Xenopus tropicalis: one gene and its partners. The protein of the gene in region 1 purifies or fractionates together with the protein of each later gene. This does not show direct contact. Links are inferred from orthologs where the notes say so. Each region holds a gene or a part of one and is shown on either strand. Other genes may lie near its edges. The genes, in order: rbm8a, upf3a, upf2, upf1, ddx39b, rnps1 and ncbp3.

Region 1 (4,138 bases):
TGCAAACAGGACAGCCCTGAAATAAAAATAATTCAGAAGCTACCAGTAATAAAATATGAAGACCAATTGCAAATTGTCTCAAAATAGTGACATCATATTAAATGTTACCCAAAGGGGACAATGAATCCTGATCCAAAATAGCCCAATGGGTTCAAGCCAATCCTCACCTTTTTCCAATGAGAAGTGATGGATTATGGGAAGCAGAGGGAATTTTAGTCCCATAATGCATCTCTTCAACACGGAACAAGGTGAGAATATTAACCCGGCCCAAATGACTGGAACAGAACCACTCACCTTAAGGAAGCCGGTCCTCCGGTCCAGATTCAGGTGGATGTTCTTGATCTCCCCAAATTCTCCAAACTTATCGTGTATATCCTCCTCTGTGGCTTCCTCGTGCACCCCGGTCACAAACAGGATCCAGCCTTCCACAGCTGCGGGGGGAGAGTGCACCCCGTTATACAGTGATAGGACCTCCCCCCAACAGGCCCCGCCTTCTGTGTCTCAGCCCAAGTAAATGAGACAGGGAGAGAGCAACAGTGCCACCCCCTGGCCACAAACCATAGTGCAGCAATAAAGAGTTCTGCTTTCAGGCTGCAGTGGGTTCCAGCACGGAGGACTAAGGGCTCCCAGCATGCAGTGCAGCAGTAGTTTCTGCGGGCGTACCCCCATACAGCACTGGCAGCGCCGGGGTCCCTACACAAGGGCAGTTCTGTGGGGCCGTATAACAGAAATGACAGGGAGAGGGGGGTGGGGCACTTACATCTTTGGGGGCCCGGCTCGTCCCCATCCTGCTCCACACTGTCATAGTCTTCCCGGATCCTCGCTCTGGTGCCTTCATCTTAAAGCAAAAGGACAACAAAGTGAACTCCATCGCCAACAAGTAACCCTACAGCCTGGCGCTTGTACCAGCCAATCAGGGACCTACCTGCACCGAATCCTCTGCCCTTCCTTTTCTTGGCCTTTTCCTTCAGTTTGTGGATACTCTCTGGAACCAAAGGAAACGTACATTACCAGTCATACTCCAACCAATATGGCGGCACCACCAGTCACATGACCTATAACCTCTACAAGGTCCAATGAAATCCAGTTTAATCAAGAGGCTTCTCATCAGTTCATTACTTCATTTCAATAGACCGGAACCAACTAATACTACTCTCACTGTCCTACTGCCCAATCCCACTGGTCTGGCCAACCCCACAGTATAAAGGCTCCTTATTCACTCACCCTGCCTTCTATACAAACTGCAGTCACAACTTGCCCTCATAGTAAGGAACCCCTTCCTATGCTGATGGTGAGATACCCTTTCCTCCCCACCCCCAATGTATCACTCATTCCCCCTCTCTTGGTAGGGAACCCCATAACCTGACTGCCCTTACAGTAAGGAACCCCTTCCTATGCTGATGGTGAGATCCCCTTTCCTCCCCACCCCCAGTGAATCACTCATTCCCCCTCTCTGGGTAGGGAACCCCATAACCTGACTGCCCTTACAGTAAGGAACCCCTTCCTATGCTGATGGTGAGATCCCCTTTCCTCCCCACCCCCAATGTATCACTCATTCCCCCTCTCTGGGTAGGGAACCCCATAACCTGACTGCCCTTACAGTAAGGAACCCCTTCCTATGCTGATGGTGAGATCCCCTTTCCTCCCCACCCCCAATGTATCACTCATTCCCCCTCTCTTGGTAGGGAACCCATAACCTGACTGCCCTTACAGTAAGGAACCCCTTCCTATGCTGATGGTGAGATCCCCTTTCCTCCCCACCCCCAGTGAATCACTCATTCCCCCTCTCTGGGTAGGGAACCCCATAACCTGACTGCCCTTACAGTAAGGAACCCCTTCCTATGCTGATGGTGAGATCTCCTTTCCTCCCCACCCCCAATGTATCACTCATTCCCCCTCTCTTGGTAGGGAACCCCATAACCTGACTGCCCTTACAGTAAGGAACCCCTTCCTATGCTGATGGTGAGATCCCCTTTCCTCCCCACCCCCAGTGAATCACTCATTCCCCCTCTCTGGGTAGGGAACCCCATAACCTGACTGCCCTTACAGTAAGGAACCCCTTCCTATGCTGATGGTGAGATCTCCTTTCCTCCCCACCCCCAATGTATCACTCATTCCCCCTCTCTTGGTAGGGAACCCCATAACCTGACTGCCCTTACAGTAAGGAACCCCTTCCTATGCTGATGGTGAGATCCCCTTTCCTCCCCACCCCCAATGTATCACTCATTCCCCCTCTCTTGGTAGGGAACCCCATAACCTGACTGCCCTTACAGTAAGGAACCCCTTCCTATGCTGATGGTGAGATCTCCTTTCCTCCCCACCCCAATGAATCACTCATTCCCCCTCTCTGGGTAGGGAACCCCATAACCTGACTGCCCTTACAGTAAGGAACCCCTTCCTATGCTGATGGTGAGATCCCCTTTCCCCCCCCCACCCCCAATGTATCACTCATTCCCCCTCTCTTGGTAGGGACACACACAGATAACAATAAATGGTTGGCCAGAGAGAATATTGTAAAACGTAAAAGCCCACAGGGAGGCTGAAAGCGGCACAATTTCCCAGCAGCCTTTATAAAACCACGTGGTCCCCGTTATCCCCCCCCCCCCCCCCCCTTGTGCTGTACCCTCTCTGAGCGCTCATCCCTATCAGTCCCGCAAGCACCAGGCCTCATTCCCGGCCTCCTTACTGAGCGGCACACTCTATACACCAGCCCTACACGCAGCCATACCGTCCCCATCTTCATCCATAGCGAAGTCTTCCCCGCCAGCTTCGTGTAAATCCAGCACATCCGCCATGTTCGCTACCGACCAGCTCCGAGTTACCGCGTACTGAAGCTCGGCTTCTCGGCAGCGCTAAACAACAGCTTCCGGCACGGCAAACTACGTAGTAAAGAAAGCGCCACTATGACGGAAGTGACGAAATGTCCTCCAGTTGCGCGCCATGTTGGGGAGGTCTGGCTAGGTTTAGTACTGAAGCGGCCCCATTAAATGTACATTAGAGATGTATTAATCAGATGAGCAGTAGCACCTTGTGTTTTATATAATGCAATGTTTATCTGTATGTAATCTGAGGAAAGCCTCTGTTAGCATACATGATTCTATCCAATTAGTATTGGTTTTATTCCTGTGGGGGTGTAAATGGAAATAGTTGCGAAGAAGGTATTTATCAGTGTTTTTCTGGCTTTGCGCCCCCTTTTTGCACCAACATGTAACAGTGAATTCATCTGTAAACATAGTAAATATGGACTCTAGTGAATATCCCCTGTGGGATCAGTGGTTTATGGACCCTTTGTATTTACAGTAATGGTGTCTGCCTCGTCCCTGAACATCAGCAATGCAACATCTGTAGTTACTCTGCCTACTGGCATGGGGCAACTCATTCCCCGGTTATTTCAGCACTTCATCCTAGACTGAAAACATGGAGATCTCACCATCAGCATAGGAAGGGGTTCCTTACTGTAAGGGCAGTCAGGTTATGGGGTTCCCTACCAAGAGAAGGGGAATGAGTGATACATTGGGGGTGGGGAGGAAAGGAGATCTCACCATTAGCATAGGAAGGGGTTCCTTACTGTAACGACAGTCAGATTATGGGGTTCCCTACCAAGAGAGGGGGAATGAGTGATACATTGGGGGTGGGGAGGAAAGGGGATCTCACCATCAGCATAGGAAGGGGTTCCTTACTGTAACGACAGTCAGATTATGGGGTTCCCTACCAAGAGAGGGGGAATGAGTGATACATTGGGGGTGGGGAGGAAAGGAGATCTCACCATTAGCATAGGAAGGGGTTCCTTACTGTAACGACAGTCAGATTATGGGATTCCCTACCCAGAGAGGGGGAATGAGTGATACATTGGGGGTGGGGAGGAAAGGAGATCTCACCATTAGCATAGGAAGGGGTTCCTTACTGTAAGGGCAGTCAGGTTATGGGATTCCCTACCCAGAGAGGGGGAATGAGTGATACATTGGGGGTGGGGAGGAAAGGGGATCTCACCATCAGCATAGGAAGGGGTTCCTTACTGTAACGACAGTCAGATTATGGGGTTCCCTACCAAGAGAGGGGGAATGAGTGATACATTGGGGGTGGGGAGGAAAGGAGATCTCACCATTAGCATAGGAAGGGGTTCCTTACTGTAACGACA
Region 2 (3,500 bases), on another chromosome or scaffold:
TAGGGAGATACAAATCCGTCAATGTTATTAAATAAGCTTAGCTCACATTTAAAAATATATCACACTACTCAAAATGCTTCAATTTAAATGTTTCATTTGAAGCAGAATTAGTCTTGGAGATACCACAGTTTAAAGAGCATCTAGCTCCTGGTTAATTTATATTGTACCAACACTCCACAGGGTGAAGGTGTTCCAGGCCCAGAATGGCAGATGCCAAAGGGGCTGCTGTATGATGCCACAGACAGTCACTATTGATTGAGCCTGTGGGGGAATGGTTGGACCTCGTTGTATGAAATGCCAGGGCCTATTTTAAATCTCAGTCCAGACCGGACCCATTCCCACAGGGAAAAGTGTGAAGCAATTTAGTCTATAGTTATCACAGGTGCTACACAAACATAACTGTCATAATAAAGTTAACATGTTTACAACCTTCCCACACTTCTTTTAACACATTACTGCAATGGATATAGGTATATAACCATGGTTTAAGTCACCTTAATTCTAATTTCTTTTTCAGAGATTTTCTTTTGCTTATCTGCTTCTTTCCGTTTACGCCTTTCCTCTTCTCTACGTTTTCTCTTTTCTTCTTCTCTTATCCGTTTCTTCTCAAGTTCACGCCTCCTTCTCTCTTCTCTTTTTTCTTCTCTTATTCTCTTTGAATTAAAAAACAGCTATTAATGCTTTCAGGGCTCATATACTGTAAAAGGCATCAATTTGTATTTATTATTCGGCATGAAATGGTTACCTGTTTTTCCAGTTTCCTGTTCTTTATAAATTCCAGTAGAGGAGTTGTTCTTCTGGCTAAAAACAAATTTACAGACAAATCACATTCCTCAATTTGATCTAAAACTATAAATAATTTATAAGGATAATTATGGCAGTTCCAGTGTAAACATAAAAATTTACTTATTTTTCACACTGTCTCAAACTTGGCTGCCATGTAGGTTAACTTATGCAATGGAAGAATGTAGTCTATTATTTTGATGTCACTGACACATCTAATAAAATCCAAAATGGAGAGCTCCTGTGCAAAACTCCAGAAGGCCTGGATCATCACTGTTATAAAATTCTGCGTTATGGATTTAATTTTACTTTAAAGGACAAGGAAAGCCTAATTTACACCCTGATGTCACCTTACATGTCTCTCCTATACATCCCTTGTGAAGAATAAGGCTTGCACATGTGCGGTAGTGTAATATCGGATTTTTTTTTTTTTCCCAAAGTAGTCTTCCAGATCAGCAGGAGAACCAGGCTTAGGTAACTGTTTCAAATCATATTATTACATTTAAAAATCATGAAAAGGCTACATATTTTTCAGTCAGTTGATGTATATTGCAAAATAGCTTGAAATTATATTTACTTTTCAAAAACCTAAAGTTGTGTTTGGGTGGAGTTAAGATGCATAGAGATGCCTAAAAATAGACAGAAAAATAGCAGTCCAGCACTTCTTTAGCACTGGACCAGGGTACCTAACATTTTGACCCCCCACAGTGAATTGGGATTTCCTTGTCCTATTGCCAGAAAGTGGCCCATGGGTAAGGCCCCATGGATAATTGGTCCTGTACTGATGTCACACCCCAGTATCCATGATAATATTAGTGCCTGTACACAGCCACTCTGGAATGGCAGACCATCAATACAGAATTTTCATCAAAACTTGCTTTTAGAAAAATACCAGTTAAAAAAAAAATCTTAAAGGAGGATGTAAATCTTAAGCCATAGCATTTAACCATTACAGCACAATATCATATGTATTTGAAAAACTTACCAATTAGTTCCTTTGTTTTTGCTTCAATTTCTCCCAGCAGAGTCTCTGGATTTGCATAAACTTTCTCTTCCTCAGCACAGTAGTTTTCTAAAAATTTCTTGTACTCAAGGTCTAAAATTTAATTAATTAATAAATTAAAGATAGTAAAAGGAATTATTGCTTATCTGGACTGAAAATGGATGCAAGGCTTGCAAAAACATGAATATGGGCACTTTATTAGTTATTAGTGTGTTTACATATTTATTTTAGGTTTGCTAAAAACCTTCATTTGTTGTGTGCATTTTTGCAAAAACATGAAGACAAGAACAAAAACCAATGTCCTTGCTCTTAACCCTAGTACTATGTAGTGCTGTATAAAACTATGTGGTTTATTTGCCAACACTATACAAATTTGAACCTGGGAGAGTAAGTGATAGCAACCAATAAGTGGTTAGATTTTTTCAACCAGCTGAAGTTAGAATAATGAAAGCAAAAGTTAATTGGTAGCCAAAATTACTATCTGTGTGCAAATGTGTCCATTGCTAATAAATTAGCTTCTGTAACTGTACAACTGTGGCTGCTTTGGCTATTCACTAATGTTAATAACTGAATGGCTATGGAAAACGGCATCCTAGGTGAGTTGCTTCTAAGGCTATGTACACGTGGTTTGAGAATATGCTTTTGCCATCTTAACACAAGCATTTTTATAAGTAAATATATGTGCCAAAGTGGTCACAATGTGCTTGTATTATATGTTTTTATACATTTTACAATATATCACAGTCCTAATATTAATTCAAATGTGTCAGATGCAAGAAAATTATGTATGCTGAAATAAAAAAAATAACTTAAAAACAAAGTTGATTGAAAATGCTGAGCTATGAGTACACTACTCTTTGCAGCACAATTTTTATTTAAATACAGTGTGCTTAAGTAGTAGTAACAATGCATCTAAAATGCATGAATTTTTGCACTCCTAAAAAAAGACTAAGAATTCTCACCTATAAGTTAATCTTTCCTACTCTCAGTGATACCTTGCAGATGTCTTTTACAACAGGGGTCCCCAACCGCCGGGCCGCGGATTGCATGGCAGTGGGCCACAGCGCACCCCCCCCCCCTACCGGCCCATGGTGCTAAAAAGGTCGGGGACCCCTGTTTTACAAGAGTGATGTAGCAGTATGTACATCTGGCACACTGCTTGTATACGTATGTCTTTTTTTACCCCACCTAACATGCATACATATTTCTGATAGCAACAAACTGCAAGGCATATTTATGAACATAAAATTTGTATCCGTGCCTTCTGCTATACTTCCTGCTTTTGCATCTTTTTTCTTTAGCTTCTTTTTAGAAATCTTTTGGAAAGGAGCAAATTCAACCACTGCAGGGTATTCCTGGCCTGTGAAAAAATAAAAAGATAAAAATAATGTTAAGTGATCACAAGGGATTGAAAATATTTTGCAAATGAAAGGCATATAAAAGACATAATGGATCACTGATGAGGCAGAAATTTCTGTTCTTCACACTGATTTTTGTATTGTGCCTCCATAGCTAATCACAGAAGAAATCAATTGTATTCAGATGCTTAGCAATTGGATTCCCTTGGGGTTGTCTAACATACTGTCACCAGTGAATCCATCTTTGCTTGTTCTTTAAAGGGCACACTGTTCTGGATACACTATATGTTCTATGTATTACTGCCATATTAAAAAAACTGGAGTAATACTTTGCATGCACTTACTCTGTGATGTGT
Region 3 (3,500 bases), on another chromosome or scaffold:
CACACTTGTACCCTATTTCTCATTAATTTTTTTTTAATTAAAGAACAGGAGTTCTAATAAAAGCCTTACCTACATCTACTGGTAAAAACATCACAAATTCTCCTAGTGAAATATACATAATTTAATGCATAAACACCCTATCTTTCGAGCTCCTACCACTGTAACAGTTCTTTACACTGCTATTCAATTTAACACAATGGAGATTTGCACCTGGGCACTGACCCATGGCAAACAATCAAATCTTTGCTTTTATAGGTCTAAATCTAAATGCCTGAAAAAAAAATCACTTACAGGTTACTATGTGTTAGTGCACATTTTCCCAGTGCTATTAAAGTACCAGTATTTAGGGGGGAAAAAAAACAAAAAAACCCAAAACATATTTTCATACATATGCTGAATAGTTGACAGATTGTTCATTGTACATATTTTGTTGCCAAGAAGTACTAGTATGTATGTATATGTTTATTTATAAAGCGCTACTTATGTACGCAGCGCTGTACAGTAGAATATGTTAATACAACAGGGGGTTATTGAAATAATAATAGATAAATACAAAGTATAACAATAAATACAAGGTACAGTTGCAATAAGTAAGAATCAAGAGGATTCTGTAGAGCTTACAATCTAAATGGGAGGGTAACTTAGCAGACACAAATAGGCAGATATAAGTGCTGTAGGTTACAGTGGGTGACACTGCAATATAAGTGCTAGTTTCAAAGTAGTTTGACATTTTTCATATGAAACTTCTCTCCAGACAATATTAAGGGGATGGACAAAATAGCAAAAATACAAAACTCTCAAATTAATCTAGTAGTGTCTTAAGGGAGAGTTTTCAACTTGACATACGTGAACATCATGAATGAACAATAAAACAGCAAACTGACCTCAAATTCCTTGGCCCATATACAACCATAAAGAGCAATCATTAAATAAAAGTGTTGTCTTGCATCAAATAGTGTATTGACTCAAGGGATGAAAACATAATGTTGCCTCTTTATAGGTCTCAGGTAAAGCCTCACCTTGAGTATGCGGTACAGTTTTGGGCACCAGTCATTAAGAAGGATATTAGTGAGCTGGAGAGAGTGCAAAGACGTGCAACAAAAATGGTAAAGGGGATAGAAAATTTAAACTATTTGGTTAGACTATCAAGTTTGGTTGTTTTCTTTGGCAAAAAGGTGCGTGCGAGAGGACACGATTACTCTGTACAAGTACATTAGAAGGGATTATAGGCAGATAGGGGCAGCACACCATTGGCCACCCCTTTAGATTTGGGTTCTGTGCCCTTTACACCAGATCCTGGTTATTTGTGCAATGCCCTTGCACACAAGCAGTTCTGAAAGGCAACCCTACAATAAGTTACAGCTTTATGCATCTCTGTTTTTTTTAAGAAAGGGTCATACATATGCTTATTAAAACACCCTGTTACTATTTTGCACTGTATAAATACTTGGAAAAGTCTTGGAAAGTGTCAGTCTATACAAGCCATGGAGCTCAACTTACGACTGTGACTGATTATTATTATTATTTATATAGTGCCATCAATTTAAGCAGTGCTTTACAGAAGAGAGGGGTACAAAAGACAGAACAGTTAACATGTACATATAAACAATTCACAAAAAATGGTTTGCAGTTACATTGGATGAGGATCGGAGAAACTAGGGGGAGGGCCCTGCTCGCAAGAGCTTACATTCTAAAAAGAAAGGCTGAGACATAAGGTCGGGTAACTAGCATGGAGTTAGAGATCATGTAGGTATGTAAAGTGACAGTAAGTGCAGAGTGAGAGGTGAAAACAAGTGGTTAGTGAATGTTTGGGGGGTTTAGGTTATAGGCTTGAGTGAAAAGGTGAGTTTTAAGAGACCATTTAAAGGCTTGCAGAGTCTGGCAGTGCCTAATGGGATGGGGAAGAGCATTCTAGAGGATAGGTGCAGCGCGTAAGAAGTCCTGGATGCGAGAGTGAGAGGAGGTGATGAGTGAGGAGAAGAGAAGGAGGTTGTGTCTAGAGCGAAGGTTACGTCTGGGGGTGTACTTGGCGATTAGGGTGGTTAAATAGAGTGGTGCGGCACCAGTGAGCGCTTTGAAGGTGAGTGCGAGAATCTTGAACTGAATCCTGTATGTGACAGGTAGCCAGTGCAAGTGGCAGAGAGGGGCGGCACTTGTGGAGCGGGAGGAGAGGTGTATGAGTTTGGGACTGATGAGACTGATGCCCCTGCATTGCAATAAGATTGTTTGTACAGCTTAAAAGACGGTTTCGTATCACCTTGGAACTCTTGGAACGACTTATAAAGCTTATTGGCAATCAACTTACTATGAGCTACCTTTGTAGTTGTGATTGATATGATAATTTTTTTTTAATTTCATGTTTCTTTTTGTCCACCATTTGTAGGCAAGGCATACTACTATTAAGGTCGCTATAATCTTTATTTCTATTGATTAATGCAAAAGTGCCAGTCTAAGATTGAATGAAACATGTAAATTAGTGTGCAATAGCCCTTTGTAGCTCTCTGCAAAAGTTTAACAAGAAGCTGTTTTTCTTACCTAGCTTTGTCAGAAACTCACGCTCCAAATCCTGCACTTGGCGGACAGATTCATTCAGTGAGGCACAGAGCTTCATTTTTGGCCTCAGAAGCTCCAAGGTATCACTTATCATATAATCAATATCTATTGGAAATGGGTGGTCTTTAGTCCACACATCAAGACTTTTCTTCCACCAAACGTAGCGCTAAAGTAAGACACATAAAAAGTGAAATCAGAAACTGACTAATGCAAGAGACTAAGTTCTTTGTAAAGAAGTTAACAATTTATCTAACTCAAACAGAAAGATAAAATCTAAAATTCATTACACAGCTTTATAAGTATGTCTAAATGCATGCAGTGTACCTTGCGCACTGAAGTGGCCATGATTTTGTATTCCAATGTCACGTTATTAAAAATATGTCCCTAGTGTAGCATGGTCTTCAATTAAGTTTTAAACAATTCTGGTTAATAATAAACAGAGAGCTTAATCAAGATTTCTAAATCAATTGACACCTCACATATAATTATGAAGAGATATGTTTAAGTTGCAGTTACATACCTGAAAATAAACAAGAAAACAATCAAGCTTTCTCTTGCTTGATCCACGGTCAAAATACTGGCCACAAGTGTCAAGGATAGTGCAAACTAATCGAATGCGGAACAAGTGTTCAGGAGGATCAAGTGGGCTGGGGCTTCCATCAGAATTTACACCAAAGGAAATAAATGAATAAAGTGTGCGAAATATAACTGCAGATTCCACCATTCTATAGTTGTAAAGCTCCCCAAGGAACTTTGCACTGCTTATCCTCCGCTGATTAAATTTTGGCTGGTTAACCTACAAGAAAAAAATTTAGGAAGCCAACAATGCATACATTAGTTTATTCATTACTTTTACTCTTAACAGATATTGCATTTGATTTCTCATTACTTTAATGTGAAACAACTGTACAGAAAAACTTTCTTTAAAGGGGATGAGATCACTGGTC
Region 4 (3,966 bases), on another chromosome or scaffold:
AGGTCCCTGGTAAGGCCTCACCTTGAGTATGCAGTGCAGTTTTGGGCTCCAGTCCTTAAGGATATTAATGACCTGGGAGAGTGCAGAGACATGCAACTAAAAAACCTATAACAATATGGTTAGTCATGGTCCCTTTATTGTGACTGTTTGGACTGATCACTAGAACTAAATAGTTATTTGTATTCAGTGTAAATTTCTTTTCTTATGATACCAGAGCTGGAGAGAGTGCAGAGACGTGCAACTAAACTGGTAAAGGGGATGGAAGATTTAAGCTCTGAGGTTAGACTGTCGAGTTTTTGAACAAGCATAGTATCCAAGGCTATTGTGATACTAATATCTACAGTTAGTATTAGTGGTTGTATATATAGTTTATGTATGTGATAGTATAGATTGGTAAGTATAGGTCTGTGTTTACTTGGAAGGGTTGAACTTGATGGACTCTGGACTTTTTAAAACCCTATGTAACTGTATAAAATATACGTTATACTAATTTTCCCTTGCCTTCAAATGTCAATCCACTTTACGGTATTTGTTACAGATGGATGATCAGAGATACTGTGCTATTATTGTGACCACTTTTAATAAAGATTTAAAAAAAAAAAAACACCCTCATTTGTATAGTAAATTTGTTGTATGTTGTGAACATGGCATAGTGTTTTAAGCATCATTTCCAAAAAGCATAGTAGAAGCTACTAGCAATAGTAATATTTCTTGGCAAACTCATTAAAGAAGCACAAATTGTAACATGTAAAGATGCTTCCCTTTATTTTTTAGGAGGTAGAAATATTTGTCCTTGGTACTACGCGCCCATTTAACATCCTTTTAGAATCTGCCGCTAATTTCTCTTCCTACCAATTATGAGCCCGCACCCACCTTACACACCCCTTTTCAACCCAGGCTTTACCTGGTGAGAGATTGAGAAGGGACAGAACCTACCACCATAACAGACATCAGAGATGACTGACTAGAGTTGGAAGAGGACCACGATTATTTTTCACAAAATACCTTAAAGGAACAGTAACACCAAAAAATGAAAGAGCTTTAAAGTAATAAAAATGTAATGCACTGTTGCCCTGCCCTGGTAAAACTGGTGTGTTTGCTACAGTAACACTACTATAATTTATATAAATAAGCTGCTGTGTAGCCCCGGGGGCAGCCATTCAAGCTGGAAAAAAGGAGAAAAGGCACAGGTTACATAGCAGATAACAGATAAGTTCTGTAGAATACAATAGTGCTTTATCTGTTATCTGCTATGTGCCTTTTCTCCTTTGAATGGCTGCCTCCATGGCTACATAGCAGCTTATTTATATAAACTATAGTAGACTTTCTGAAGTAAACACACAACTTTTACCAGTGCAGGGCAGCAGCACATTATATTTGAGTTACTTTTATACACTTTCATTTTTTGGTGTTACTGTTCCTTTAACAGCATACTTAGGGCATTACAGGAAAGTTTTGGGCCATGCTTGGTCCTCTTATGAGCTTGATAAAGGGCTAAACATTGCCTGAAACAATGCTGTCACTTCCCAAGTGCAATAAAAACATTTAATCTGAAGAATAATTAATTTGCTGCTTCAACTCAAGTCACTTGTGTACCAGTGGCCATTGGAGAACGTGCACTGATTTGAAGTACTAACCATTTGTTATTTGCTATCCATTTGAGATGCCATCAGAAGGGGCAAGTTCCAGAAACATTATTTCACCAGCAATAAGGTAAGTGTACAGTGTACAAATGAAAAGTTGTGTGAGTTGCTGATGTTCAAAGATACTCACACAATTTGTGACAGTCCATTTTCCAGCCCACAAGCAGCACTTTGATGTATCGGCTTTTATTTTGCGTCAATGCATTTCATTTCCATTAGTCCCTGACCCAGTGGAGCTCACAATCTGTTTCTATGTGAAAGACCTCCTAGGATAGAGAACCTGAAAGCCACTATTCCAACATGGAATAAGGGACTGAATAATGTGTCAAGTCAGCGAGGGATACAATGAGTTCGATTATCCATTTTGCTTCTATCGCATATGAACAGTACATAATGTACAACTTTTGCCCATTAGGTAGGGGTTGAACTACAATGTAAGAGTCGCGACCTAATGTAGAAAGTTGCGATTCAAACAAAGTTGAGAGTTAGCAATTTAACCACGAGTATAAATAACTATTTTTTAGCTTTCCAGCCCTGTAATACAACTACGTACACGGTAAATATAACGTAACATAGACAAAATCGGAAATCATCTGAAGTTTATAAAGAAAGCACATTTTGAGGGCACTCCATCCCGCTACCTTAATGCCGCCTGGCAATGGAAGCGGCAGCGACACACGCGAGGCCTGACAAGCACATTCCCGCCCCCGGAAGCTGCCATGTCTCTCACCTGCCCGTCCAGCTGGTTCTGGCTTTGCCCTTGTGTCTGTGTCTGGCTAGGCAGCGTGAAGTCTGTGAACTCAAACTCTGAGCCCTGAGTGTCGGCCCCGAGCAGCTCGGCCTCCTCCGTATCCAAGAAAGTGAGGGTCTGCGAGCTGGGCCCGTACGCCTCCACGCTCATTGTGACGGCCGAGGAAACAGGAAAGCGATTAATTTTTTAATCCCTACACAGCTTTAATGGAGTCCCCAAAGGCTTCGATGCCACCACGAAGCGCTTATCTAATAGACACGAAACACGGGTAAAAAGAAAAAAATATGAACTGCCTCCGACCGAGCTCCCTCCGTCCTGGATGACGTCAGTCGTAGCCGCACAGGAAGGAACGCGCTTGCGCGCCAACGTGACGTAATCACGTTGGGACGACAGCAGTAGCTATTAGTTGCTATTGACAACAGGGCTGGTGTCAGTTATTTGTTGTTCAATAGTAAGATTCTCGGGCAGTAAGACGCGCTATCAATATGTAATTGGGTTATATCGGAAGAGGGAACGGTAGTATAGACGGCAGAGGCAGAACTTGTTTTTAATCTGGGCGGAGACGAGTGACGTAACAGACACGTCGGCACCTACTAAGCTAGGCTGATATCAAAATGAGTTTAGCAATTAAACGAGCAAAGAGATGCAAATGTTAGCGCCAGCGGAAGAGATTGTCCTATATGCGTGCGATAGTACTTATTAGTTTTGTGTAGCGATACTAATTTTCTGCATTTATTTATCGGGGCCGGGCCCTGTTGGTTCCTGTCATGCAGCATAGGCATGATAATTATGGCGTCTTCAGTTCGGGAGAAAGAAACTTGAACACCTCCGACAGGGTTACCTGGTTTTGAACGAAATAAATTAGGTGTTTACTTGGAAAATCAGAAAACACCATATCTTCGTATGAGAGTTGTCTGACATTTGCAGGAATTGGTACAACTTAAAAAAAATCTAAAATGTGCAGTCCTTTCACTGATCTGAGCAAAAACTGCTGCAGTATTGAGTGAGCTTCCTTATGTAGAAATATGTTGGTACTAGTTATTCTTATTGCACTGGGGGATTCCCTGTGCCAAGAGGCGAATGCACATGTTGCAGATAGGTTTGTAGTGGCGCAATAGTTTCCTGCGAGAAGGCAGCCTTGTGAAATATTGGACTGTAGTCTTCACAATACAGTGGCTAATAAGTGATAATATATCATTGCAGGGGTGCTAAGCAGTGGGCATAATCAACTACAGAGGCCTGGCCACTAGGAATAATGGATTGTGCCATCTGTCCAGATGACCATAATGGAGGATGGAAAGTTGGTATCTTTACACAGTGACGAGAAAGGACTGTAGAGGGGTTGCCCAGTAGCAGCTGCTAAGCATTTGACTGTAGGAGACTGCCTTTGGGTAATGCGATCAGCAAGCCCCTAGTAAAATATATTTTTTATTTTACACATACAGTGGACTTTTTGTGCTTTATATCAGTTCATGCAGGAATAACTATAAATTGTTGTTTATTTCTGAGACTGAGCGGTCGATTTTTATCATTCCTTGATCATTTTACCCAGTAGTAAAAATAATTACTGCT
Region 5 (3,149 bases), about 68 Mb from region 1:
GTTAATGTAAAAAAAGGTGCATATTGCTCCTTTAAATAGACATCATACCCCCTTGTCCAGCATGATTTTAATGAAAAGGGCTTCTGCTGAACATAATTTTTGCTTTTGTTTTAATTATTTGAAAAAAAAAAATGGTTTTCATTAATTTATGTGGCACAGGGTGCAAAAGGCATCCCTTGTGGATGCAAGGCAGGCGATAAGTACAGGGCTCCCTCTCCTGCCAGGCTAACTCTGAACTTAGAGCAAGTTAGGGGGCAGGAAAGGGAAGCCAACAGGCTGCCTGCTGCCCACCCCTCATGAATGCAACACTGATGGAATGTGTGGGAAGAGCAAGAACCTGCAATGACACAGTTTATTTTTGTACCCTGCCCCACCATCAAGAAATAATGCTTTGCTCTTCTTTTATAAATTCTGTAATTTTTTAAATTCAGTTTTTTTTGTTTTTTTTAAATATTTGTATAGTTACTTTAGCCAACAATGAAAAATAAAATTACATCACATCTGTAGTAACTTTTATTTTTTTGTGACATGTTCTTGTCATAAATTCACAAAATACAAGTCAGTGACAGCACCGGTCACAGCAGTGTTACTAAACAAAAGTTGATCCTCACTGGATACGGTATAAAACTAATCAAATACAACACTATACCAGAAACCCACAGAGCACTGCTCCTTTATTAATACCAACAGAAATGGAACTAGATTATATGGGTTCTGGAAGTTTCTACTATGTTATTTTAACCACTGTTGCAGTAGTCTGCAGGACCCTTAAAGGGAATTTAAAGACGTGTGCTGCTGTGTTCAATGTACAATACACAGATGTGGGCTGGATGAAGAAAGTCTTCCAGGCTCTTTCGGTGACATTTTGGCTGGTGAGTTCCTTTTCCCACGCTTAGAAGAAAACCAATGCAGAGGGAAGCAGCACGCAGGAAGCAGAATAGATTCAGGTTCACCGTGTCTGTTCAACTGAAAGAAGAGCAGTGGTTCTTAAAATTTTTTTCTTGGGGGCTCAAATTATGTTGCACAATTGGCTTCACAAACAAAAAACATTATTTAGCGGGATTGTGAAACAGCATGGAAACCAATTTTTGGGTCATAAACCATAGGTTTAGAATCCCTCCTCTATAGTTAAAGAAGAAGAAAGGCTAATAAAGAGTTAATCTCAAGCTGCAGGCATACCTTCAGTTGTCTCAATAGTGCCCTTAAGTCTCCCCATATTTCACCTGTTCAGATGATCAGAAGCCAAACAGGAAGAAAAAACGCTGAGCTGTGTAAAGCAAGTTCCCATAATGCCTCACTCCTAGACCGAGACCAAAGTGTACATGCTCAGACTATGAGTCAGCTTCCTGCTGAATGGCTCAGATCCACATTCCTAAAGGGGGGGAGTGAGTTCTTAGCATTCTTGAGGGAGGGGGGAGCAGGAAAGAGGAGACAGCAGAGAGCTGTGTGTCTTTGGCACATGAATTACAGACACAAGAAATCTTTTGACAGAAGTCAGTGCAGCATTTCTGTGAGTGCTTATGGCTGCATTTACATAGACCTTTCTGATAAAGCTTACTTAGTTTTTACCTTTTTTTCTCCTTTAAAATAGATTTGAAACAATGTTCCCTCTAATTTCTTGTCTGTGTCCGGAAAAAAAATAAATTGTGTGTGCAGGTGTGCGTAGCACAAAATTCTTTGAGCGCACCACAATTTAAAGGCAAGCTAATTTATTAGGCAAGTATAGCTATATGCCTTAACATCTTGCCTGATTTGGCAACCCACACACAGACCCAATCAGGATGATCAGGTCATTGGCCCCCTGAATAATGCGGGCTTACAGAACCAGGTCAACATGCTACTGTTATTATATCCTCACTAAGTGATAGGACCAGATTAAGTAGAAACGAAGGCAAACATACTTTAGCAATCTTTGTAAAACCAAGTTATTGATTTTGAAGCACCAAAATCACAAATATTGTAAAGATTTTAAGTGAGAGAAGGCATACATCAACTATGCAATAGTGTTATAAAGGAACACTCAAAATGCAAACTCACTGTACGAGGAGATATCAATTTCATCAGGCAGCTCACTGATGTTAACTTCAAAACGATCTTGAACTTCATTTAGAATTTTAGCATCCCCCTCATCAGAGACAAATGTAATAGCCAAACCTTTTGTACCAAATCTGCCAGCTCGAGCCACCTGTCATAAGAATGACTGTTAGTAAATGAACCACTCACAAAGATACAGATGTGCTACAGGCTAATGCCATGAATACAGACCCTGTGCAGGTACGTATCAGAGTCCTCTGGCATATCATAGTTGAAAGCAATGTTAACCCTCTCAATGTCCATTCCACGGCCAAACAGGTTTGTAGCAACTAAAATTCGCCTCTGGAAATCCTTAAATTGTTGATAGCGTGAGAGCCTGCAAATTTCACATAAGAGAAATTATAAATCTTTCTGCTTTGAAAAGAAAAAAATCCTAGTTTTTTCTTCCTACCTTTCCTCTTGTGACATGCCACGGTGAATCGCTATGGCTGGGAAGTTCTGTTCCACTAGTAGCTGAGCAAGTGCGATGCAGCGCTGGACTGATTTCACAAAGATCACCACCTGTGTAAAAGTTTATTAAAAATATGGGACCCAGATGCAGCTCACCAATTCAAAGTCATCCTAAGTCAAACTTTTTAAACAGCGGGCCAGTTTATGACCCCTCACAATGTTGGGGGGGCAGGACTATAGTCCTCCAACTATGGCCCTCTCTCATTGCCTGCTCCCCACTGCGGGGTCAAACTACAGCACACTCCTGCCTCCTCCCTCTCCAAGTTTCCCCGCTGCAGCCTCCTGCTCTCTGCTCCGTTCTCTATCTCCCAGCTCCCCGCTGCCAGGGGTGAGGACAAAGCAGGGGCCGGATCTGGCTGTAGTTTGAGGATGCTTGTCTTAAGTCATACGATGGCAAACCTCAAATTGTAGGCATACACCTGACATAAGCATATAGCACAGCTCAGGATCACTAGCTTTGGCACTCAAAATACCACTTATGCCATAGAACTTATTTTCAAATACAAACAAAAACATTTCAATGCCTTAAAGGAACAGTAACACCAAAGATTTTTTAAAGTAAATGAAATATAATGTACTGTTGATATCCAAAAAATTCAAAAAGT
Region 6 (4,000 bases), on another chromosome or scaffold:
GGTACTTTTATTTCATTGCTTGCAACTAATGATCTGAAGAAAACAGGAGGTTGGTGTTAGAGTCATGAATAAAACCAATATCATTTCTCACTACATACATTAGGACACAAGTAATTCTGACCCCTACCCATGATAAAACTGCCCAGTCCTTCTTTATACGCAGTCATCAGAGATACAGACACCCACTCCTCATATGGGAACATACCTTTCACTTCCAACTAACAGACATCAGGGCACCTACCTCTCACCTCCTCCTAATACATCCACAGAACCTGCTTCTCTCCCCACCTAATAAAAATAGGTCAGGGGGCTCATTAAAGGTGATGCTGATACCAATCAAACCCTTCAGGCAGGCAATTCTGTGTTGTGAGTACAGTAACTGACCCTTTAAGTTCTCTGTGGATTTGAGTGTAGCATTAAAAGGAATATGCACCTTATTTATAAGAGGGGAAATATTCCCTTTATGAGAGGACAGATCAGAACAGCTTCCCTCCAAACCTTAGGGACCTTCTGGAAGGTTCAATGAAACCTTACTGAATCCTGTACAATGTATACAAACCTTATGCTTGCCCTAGGCGACCTAAGTAAGGTTTATGGATGCCCTTTATAACTCAGGCAAACCTAAGGGTTGCCCTGGGCAACTCTAGCGGGACTTATGGTGGCCTTGACAACTCATGCAAACCCCCTAGACAGCCGGGTTTATGGGGGTTCCCAACAACTCAAGCAAACCTTATGGGGAGCTAGACTAGTTGCACTCTTTTTTCCCAAAGGTAAAGGGTCACCCTTGCTTTTTGTCACACTCACCACCTTATGGGCCCCAAAAGTGCGACGAGACACGTAAAGCAATCCTCCCATCCGGAAGAACTAACATCCCTGCACCTCTCCTAACACAGGCCACACTTGCCTTTATAGCGGCTGTCCCTCGCACCTATCTATATACCGACGCGTAGTTGTACTTCTGGCACAGTTTCTTTATAACCATATCGCACTTAGTGTTTGTTTACGGAGCAAAACAGGAAGCAGCATAGGTTTCCGCTCCGTGCAATAGACATACACGCACACATATTAACCCCGTCACTCCTAGAAATGACAATTACTAGTAATGTTCCTGCTGCAACTCGGGACTATCCTACTTCTTTAAAAGGCTGAATCGCATTTGCGTCCGCTGTTGTGCCACGCCCACGTCCAGCAATGTGTGACGTCAGCGCCAAGGCGACCAGAGTCGCTTATCTTTTGTTTCAAGATGGCGGCGACACGTCACAACGAACGCGACGGTTTATCTGATCTTAGAAGGGACAGGCAACGAAAGAGCGGCAAAATGTAAGCGGAGCTCCATAATCTTTTTCCATCCTGCAGCGCTGCTTTCCGTACGAGTTGGATATTGGTGGGACGGTGCAGGGGAAGCATGGCGGGTTCTATTCACCGATGTATTGATTAAGAGAGAGCAGGGTGGTGTTTGGGATTGGCCCCGAACGCAGTACCGAGGATTTATGGGGGTATAGGCCGCAGCTGATTGGATACACATATCGCTGCGTCTATACCTTCCTGGGGAGTTGTTTCTTCTGCACACTATTCCCTTTGTATATGGGTTTGGGCGATTTCTTCTTTATGTAAAATGAATTCTTTCTGAGCTTGCACTGGTTAAATTGTTGTGTTTATGTAAGGGGACAACAAAAATGGCTGCCACTGCTTGACTGCCCCCGTCTAGGGAAGGCTGCCTTGTATTTCTCTCTGGGTATATTCCCTCAATGTGTATATGCTTTGCACTGGATTTTTTCATTCATTGATATGTGCTGCTGCCCTGTGGGTTTGCTTACGTTTTGTATTGGGGCACCATTAGTTTTAGTGCTTTAATATATGTATTAAATGTCTGGAAAAACCTTGGGGTTCTTGGATCTCCAGTAATTCTGTATTTATATAACAGCAACATTATACTCCATTTACATCAGAACCTGCCCCAGTCTAAGGGTTACATATAAACTCCTTGTAGATAGTGACCCCCAGCTGGAATTGAACATTAGGACCCCAGCGCTGCCCAAACGTACTATGCTCTACCCCATTGTTATTAAAGGAACAGTAACACCAAAAAAATTAAAGTTTTTTTTTAAAGTAATTATAATATAATGTATTGTTGCCCTGCACTGGTAAAAATTGTGTTTGCTACAGTAACACTACTATAGTTTATATAAATAAGCTGCTGTGTAGCCATGGGGGCAGCCATTAAAGTTGGAAAAAAGGAGAAAAGGCACAGGTTACATAGCAGATAACAGATAAGTTCTGTAGAATACAATAGTTTATCTGTTATCTCCTATGTGCCTGTGCCTTTTCTCCTTTGAATGGCTGCCCCCGTGGCTAAACAGCAGCTTTGTTTATATAAATTTCTGAGGCAAACACACCAGTTGTACCAGTGCAGGGCAGCAGTATATTTTATTATTATTTTTATACATTTTCATTTTTTGGTGTTACTGTTCCTTTAAGTGCCACAGTTGCATGGATATAGGTGTTATAGGGCCACCATGGCATTTTAAATCCCCCCTTCCTTGTTTTCTAATTGTTCAACTTATCAGGATAAAGGTTTCAAGTGTTGCCTGCAAATTAATGAGGAGGGATTAAGGGCTCTGGTACACGGGGAGATTAGTCGCCCGCGGCAAAACTCCCTGCTCGCGGGCGACTAATCTCCCCGAGTTGCCTTCCCTCTGCCATCCCACCGGCGAACATGTAAGTCGCCGGCGGGATGGCAGACGCGGCGGCGCGATTTCGCGCAAATCGCCGAAAAAGACTCGCGAGGCTTTTTCGGCGATTTCCCGAAATCGCCTCGCCGGTGTAAGTCGCCGGTGGGATGGCAGAGGGAAGGCAACTCGGGGAGATTAGTCGCCCGCGAGCAGGGAGTTTTGCCGCGGGCGACTAATCTCCCCGTGTACCAGAGCCCTTAAGGAGAGATACAATACAAGGTGGTGGCCATAGCTATGTTGTACATATATGCTTTGAGGTTGGGGAGAGTCTGAACCACACTGACCTGCGTGTTTCCAGTACCCATAATAAAGCCTCCATCTGCGTTTACACAGACCAACATAATTTAACTTTTAATCGCTGTAATAACCGGTACATGTTACTCCCACTTGCATTTTTCAGCTGTTTGACCCTGTATCACCCTTACAGGAACATTCTAAAAAAAAAAAAGCAGTTGCGCACCAGATGAAGTGCTCAGCTGTACGCGGCTTAAAGCGGAAGTCAGCGTTTTATTGTAAAGGTCTGATTGGTTGCTATGGGTAACATCACCACTGAAGTTTGTCTCCAGGGGTAATAAGTACGCCCTTAAGTGATTCTCCAGAATGGCCGTCCTGCTCATAATTCAGTAGGCAAGTGTGCACTGCATTGGCAAGCAGGGTACTCAGTGCCCAAGAACCCCCAATACCCAGTTGCACCAATGCTGTAGAAGGTTTGGAGATCAGCAAAGGAGAGATTTTCATCAGGAGTGCAGCACTGCTGGCTGGGTACTGGCTCTTAAGGCACAAACCCCTATAAGAAGGCACTTTGGTTCCCAGAAGCAGCCACATAATACAGCACTGACACTCCACTAAGCACTGGAAGGCATTATTTTTCATGGGAGGAATCGGGTTTCTTGTGCTTCAGGCTGCTCTAGGTTGGATAATATAGTTATTATTAGTTGCCTTGAAAGTGCCATCTCCAGGATATATGGTACCCCCACTCCAGTGAATATAATCACTTACCTGATACTCTGGGCCAGACATCTGTGTGCTGAAGAGTGCACCAGCCTGGGGCTTAAGAAAAGATTGCAGTGTGGCACTCTTACAGATGTACCCTGGGCCAGTGCGTTTTTCAGCAAACAGGAGCACTCGCCTGGGGTATTAGCAAAGCGTTGGCAATTACTGGAGTGCACCTAACATTTGGCACCCCCCAGTGATTATACATTTCCTTCTCCTTTAATCCCATGCACCCCACCAGTTCTTTAGCCCTACCATCCTAGCGTATCACCTGG
Region 7 (3,500 bases), on another chromosome or scaffold:
TTCCTGGCAAAACGAACCATATAGCGAATTTCTAGCACAAATTAATGAAAATTTTCACCATTTGCAAAACCTCAAAATTATACTGCAAATCAGTATTACAAGAAAAAATTTGCACACTATTAAAATGTAATTATCTTCATAGTGGAAAAGTTTAGAATGATACTTAGAAATACAGTTTATCTTCTGATCTCTGCTGTTGCTACATTTTTCAAATTAATATAGTACATACAGCACTAAAACTGCTCTACAAGTAATACATAGGAGCCCTTCATTTTAGCTGATATCTAGGAATGGTCAGTTTGAACCTTATTCTTAGGTTTGATTAATTCTCGTGGATAACAGATCAGCCTGCACCTGTTGTGTGACATTTCAAATGTGTCTGTGCGTTTTTTTAAAAACTGTATGGTCAGAATAAATACAAATGTGTTTTTACACCAGAGCACAATTTAGAAGGAACATTGTATGCAGTTTATGCACCATTTTATGTCTGTGAGCTTGCAGAGACAGTGACTGGTATTTTAGCTGCCTCTACTGCTTTCATTTCACTCCAAGCACACACACGCGTATATGACTAGTGTGTATTTAGTTCCTGTCTGCAGTGACTCAGATTGGTGTGAAAGGGAATATTTAAAGGCATTTAAGACCACAGTTACAGTTTTGTTGTTCTATGCATTTCTCTTGGCTTTTGATACCTCCTGTGAGTACAGGTTTTTGACCTCTTATCCAGAATTCTTAGAACCTGGGGTTTTCCGGATAAAGGATCTTTCCATAATTGGGATATCCACACCCCAAGTCTGTTTGAAACATTCTACCATGAAATAAACCCAATAGGATTGTTGCCACCAATAAGGATTAAGTATATCTTAGTTGGGATCAAGTACAAGGTACTCTTTTACTATTACAGAGAAAAAGGAAATCAATTTTAAAAATTAGAATTATTTGATTAAAATGGAGTCTATGGGAGATGCCGGTCACAGTATTCCTCCATGTATGTGTGTGTATATGTATAAATGCAATGTATTGTATATACTCAATGAAATGTTACTATACCATAAACGTTGGGCTTTACATATGTTTTGTTTAATATACTCGTCATAGGCATAAGGCATCATATGGGTGAAATTAATTGAGGGCAGTAAATCCATGGCTTACAGTTTCTAATGGAAGTAGAAAGGGTTTAGAGAATGCATAAATAAGAAGGAAAATGCAGTGGGATTGTAGGAGTCAGTGTGAAATTACAGGAAGAATCAGTAGTGGGGCCGAGGTAATTTAGAGATGAAAAACTGGCATTCAGGGAGATAGAGGGTCTGTAATAAGGATGGTGGATAAATAAGGGGAGCATTATAAGATTTTATGACAGTACTTAACTATATATTGCCATATAGCAAAGCAATGAATTACATGCAATGCATTAGTAACTGGTAGATTGCACTTGCATGGAATGTTTGGTGCACTGGACCCCCATAAACGAACCCAGGCAGGTGCTTGTGTAAGAACTTATAGCTAGTAATGGGTTATTGCATAAAAAGTTTCAAACATGCGACCCATAAATGCTTCCTACAAATTAGTTGCTTTGAGTTATAAGACCTGTCTTATTTTATGATACAAAACTCTGTTTCCATTGTTAGATGCAATATTATACTTTCCTAATAAACACAAATAAAGACTTTTAAGCAAGGGGATCTCCTTCCTTTTGTCTTTTTAACACTTAGCTGTTAAATCTTTGTAACTGTACTTTTTATTAGTGTAATTGTATTGACCCTATTCTATGAATTTATTGTGCTGTACAGCACTGTGTACATATGTAGCACTATATGAATAGAATTATACATACATAAAATAATTGTAATCACAGGCTGCATAATGGAGTTAACTGATTGCTGTTAGATACTAACTCAGTGTTGGTTTTGTTTTTAAGGAGGCTATCGAGAAAAAGGAACAGAGGGCAAAGCGGTTTCATTTTCGAGCAGAAGTCAGTGACCAACAAAGGAATGTGGTACTAGATCGAGAAATGATTAGAAAAGGTGGTTATGAGAGGCTTTTCCATTGTAAATTACCTATGGGTGCTATGTGTTGTCTTTAGTGTTGCATTTAGTTATTTGATCATTTAAAGGAGAAGGAAAGGCTAATAAAGAGTTAATCTCTAGCTGCAGGCATACCTTCAGTTCTCTCAATAGTGCCCTTAAGTCTCCCAATATTTCACCTGTTCAGAAGATCTGAAGCCAAACAGGAATAAAAAACGCAGAGCTAGATAAAGAGGATTCGCATAATGCATTGCTCGTGCATTGACTATGTGAATAGGACACTAGGTGGCGCATGCACATTGCTCGATCTTAGTAAGAGAAGCCTGCGAGCGGGCGGTGGTGTTCGATCGCCACGGGGCGGTTTGCAAGCGGGGGAATCCAGGAATCCAAGATGGCGGCTGTGACAGGCTGCAAATACACCTAAGTTACAAGCCAATTTTTGTGAGATGTTATTTTATTTTAAAAAATAAATTTGGTGATTTGCTTTGGGCAAGGGAGCTCTACACTATATTAAGGGATACAACAGTAGTAGCCTTTCCTTGCTCTTTAACATCATTGCTTAAAATTGCCAAAAGAAAATTATTTTTTAAATTTTGCTTTCTAAAACAAACCCTTTCAGATTTTGACACTGTTTTGCTATATACCTTGCCAATACCGTTTGCCCAAGGGTTAGGTCTGTTCCTTGGCAGTAATAGAATTGTACCACCAGATATATTTACTGCCAACAGTGATGTTTAAAATAATTTATGAGGCGGTTTCCTCCATTATCTTTGATTTCTTCAGTTTATGAAATGCAAAAGAAAAACTTCTAACATGTTTTTTCACTATTTCCTTAGCAATCCCCAAAGTCCGCCTTGAAACTCTTTATGTCTATGGTGTTGATGATATGAGCACTGAGGATATCTTTGCCTTCTTTAAGCAATACCCTCCAGGATACATTGAATGGCTGGATGACAGCTCCTGTAAGTGTATTCCTATTTTGCTAGATGCTTGGATAGAATTCATTTTTCTATACAATACAGAATGCCATTTGTTATGAGTGCATATTGGTGCAGTAACTACGATTCCAACAATCCAGTCTTGTTTTAGCCTTCTGATCTTACTTTCAAATACACCTGAAGCCTTAAAACAGTCTCAATAGTGCCATTATTTGTATGTCACTTTTTCTGTATCTAAAGAGAAACATATTTTCTGGTGATTGTGTTTAGTTCTAAAAATGTTCTTTTTCTGGAATAGTTTTAACTGTTTTCATTTGCAGATAATATTAAAGAATATCCACAAGTGCTCCTAATATATTTGGTATGGCAGCAATATCCATTCCACAACTCTGATAGCATGTATCATTTCAGTTCTTCCTCAGAAACTTAGAGATGGACACCAGTGCTGAATGCAGAAAGATAGCTCTGGATCTGTTGTTCTGTAGTCACCAGTAGTATAAATCCCATTTGTAGAAGGGGTGAACTAATTAACACGTGC

What was found.
Region 2: the proteins of rbm8a (region 1) and upf3a purify together in Homo sapiens (co-immunoprecipitation; 4 studies listed by BioGRID and IntAct, with this or other methods). This does not show direct contact. The link is inferred for Xenopus tropicalis from reciprocal best matches to the Homo sapiens genes RBM8A and UPF3A.
Region 3: the proteins of rbm8a (region 1) and upf2 purify together in Homo sapiens (co-immunoprecipitation; 6 studies listed by BioGRID and IntAct, with this or other methods). This does not show direct contact. The link is inferred for Xenopus tropicalis from reciprocal best matches to the Homo sapiens genes RBM8A and UPF2.
Region 4: the proteins of rbm8a (region 1) and upf1 purify together in Homo sapiens (co-immunoprecipitation; 7 studies listed by BioGRID and IntAct, with this or other methods). This does not show direct contact. The link is inferred for Xenopus tropicalis from reciprocal best matches to the Homo sapiens genes RBM8A and UPF1.
Region 5: the proteins of rbm8a (region 1) and ddx39b purify together in Homo sapiens (co-immunoprecipitation; 4 studies listed by BioGRID and IntAct, with this or other methods). This does not show direct contact. The link is inferred for Xenopus tropicalis from reciprocal best matches to the Homo sapiens genes RBM8A and DDX39B.
Region 6: the proteins of rbm8a (region 1) and rnps1 purify together in Homo sapiens (co-immunoprecipitation; 4 studies listed by BioGRID and IntAct, with this or other methods). This does not show direct contact. The link is inferred for Xenopus tropicalis from reciprocal best matches to the Homo sapiens genes RBM8A and RNPS1.
Region 7: the proteins of rbm8a (region 1) and ncbp3 purify together in Homo sapiens (co-immunoprecipitation; 3 studies listed by BioGRID and IntAct, with this or other methods). This does not show direct contact. The link is inferred for Xenopus tropicalis from reciprocal best matches to the Homo sapiens genes RBM8A and NCBP3.

The regions. Positions count from the first base shown.
Region 1 is NC_030684.2:142,190,208-142,194,345, reverse strand, and holds the start of rbm8a (RNA-binding protein 8A), read right to left. Parts: upstream 2,801-4,138; 5' UTR 2,796-2,800; coding exon 2,729-2,795; intron 986-2,728; coding exon 926-985; intron 839-925; coding exon 761-838; intron 432-760; coding exon 295-431; intron 1-294.
Region 2 is NC_030678.2:111,830,022-111,833,521, reverse strand, and holds part of upf3a (regulator of nonsense transcripts 3A), read right to left. Parts: intron 3,147-3,500; coding exon 3,048-3,146; intron 1,880-3,047; coding exon 1,769-1,879; intron 802-1,768; coding exon 746-801; intron 654-745; coding exon 495-653; intron 1-494. UniProt on the Homo sapiens protein: Involved in nonsense-mediated decay (NMD) of mRNAs containing premature stop codons by associating with the nuclear exon junction complex (EJC) and serving as link between the EJC core and NMD machinery.
Region 3 is NC_030679.2:82,322,579-82,326,078, reverse strand, and holds part of upf2 (regulator of nonsense transcripts 2), read right to left. Parts: intron 3,350-3,500; coding exon 3,074-3,349; intron 2,720-3,073; coding exon 2,536-2,719; intron 1-2,535. UniProt on the Homo sapiens protein: Involved in nonsense-mediated decay (NMD) of mRNAs containing premature stop codons by associating with the nuclear exon junction complex (EJC).
Region 4 is NC_030677.2:98,881,279-98,885,244, forward strand, and holds the start of upf1 (regulator of nonsense transcripts 1), read right to left. Parts: upstream 2,801-3,966; 5' UTR 2,545-2,800; coding exon 2,374-2,544; intron 1-2,373. UniProt on the Homo sapiens protein: RNA-dependent helicase required for nonsense-mediated decay (NMD) of aberrant mRNAs containing premature stop codons and modulates the expression level of normal mRNAs.
Region 5 is NC_030684.2:74,189,668-74,192,816, forward strand, and holds the end of ddx39b (spliceosome RNA helicase DDX39B), read right to left. Parts: intron 2,596-3,149; coding exon 2,486-2,595; intron 2,411-2,485; coding exon 2,266-2,410; intron 2,186-2,265; coding exon 2,038-2,185; intron 967-2,037; coding exon 950-966; 3' UTR 501-949; downstream 1-500. UniProt on the Homo sapiens protein: Involved in nuclear export of spliced and unspliced mRNA. Component of the TREX complex which is thought to couple mRNA transcription, processing and nuclear export, and specifically associates with spliced mRNA and not with unspliced pre-mRNA.
Region 6 is NC_030685.2:21,739,514-21,743,513, forward strand, and holds the start of rnps1 (RNA-binding protein with serine-rich domain 1), read left to right. Parts: upstream 1-1,200; 5' UTR 1,201-1,318; coding exon 1,319-1,320; intron 1,321-4,000. UniProt on the Homo sapiens protein: Part of pre- and post-splicing multiprotein mRNP complexes. Auxiliary component of the splicing-dependent multiprotein exon junction complex (EJC) deposited at splice junction on mRNAs.
Region 7 is NC_030678.2:48,492,125-48,495,624, forward strand, and holds part of ncbp3 (nuclear cap-binding protein subunit 3), read left to right. Parts: intron 1-1,918; coding exon 1,919-2,024; intron 2,025-2,860; coding exon 2,861-2,986; intron 2,987-3,500. UniProt on the Homo sapiens protein: Associates with NCBP1/CBP80 to form an alternative cap-binding complex (CBC) which plays a key role in mRNA export. NCBP3 serves as adapter protein linking the capped RNAs (m7GpppG-capped RNA) to NCBP1/CBP80.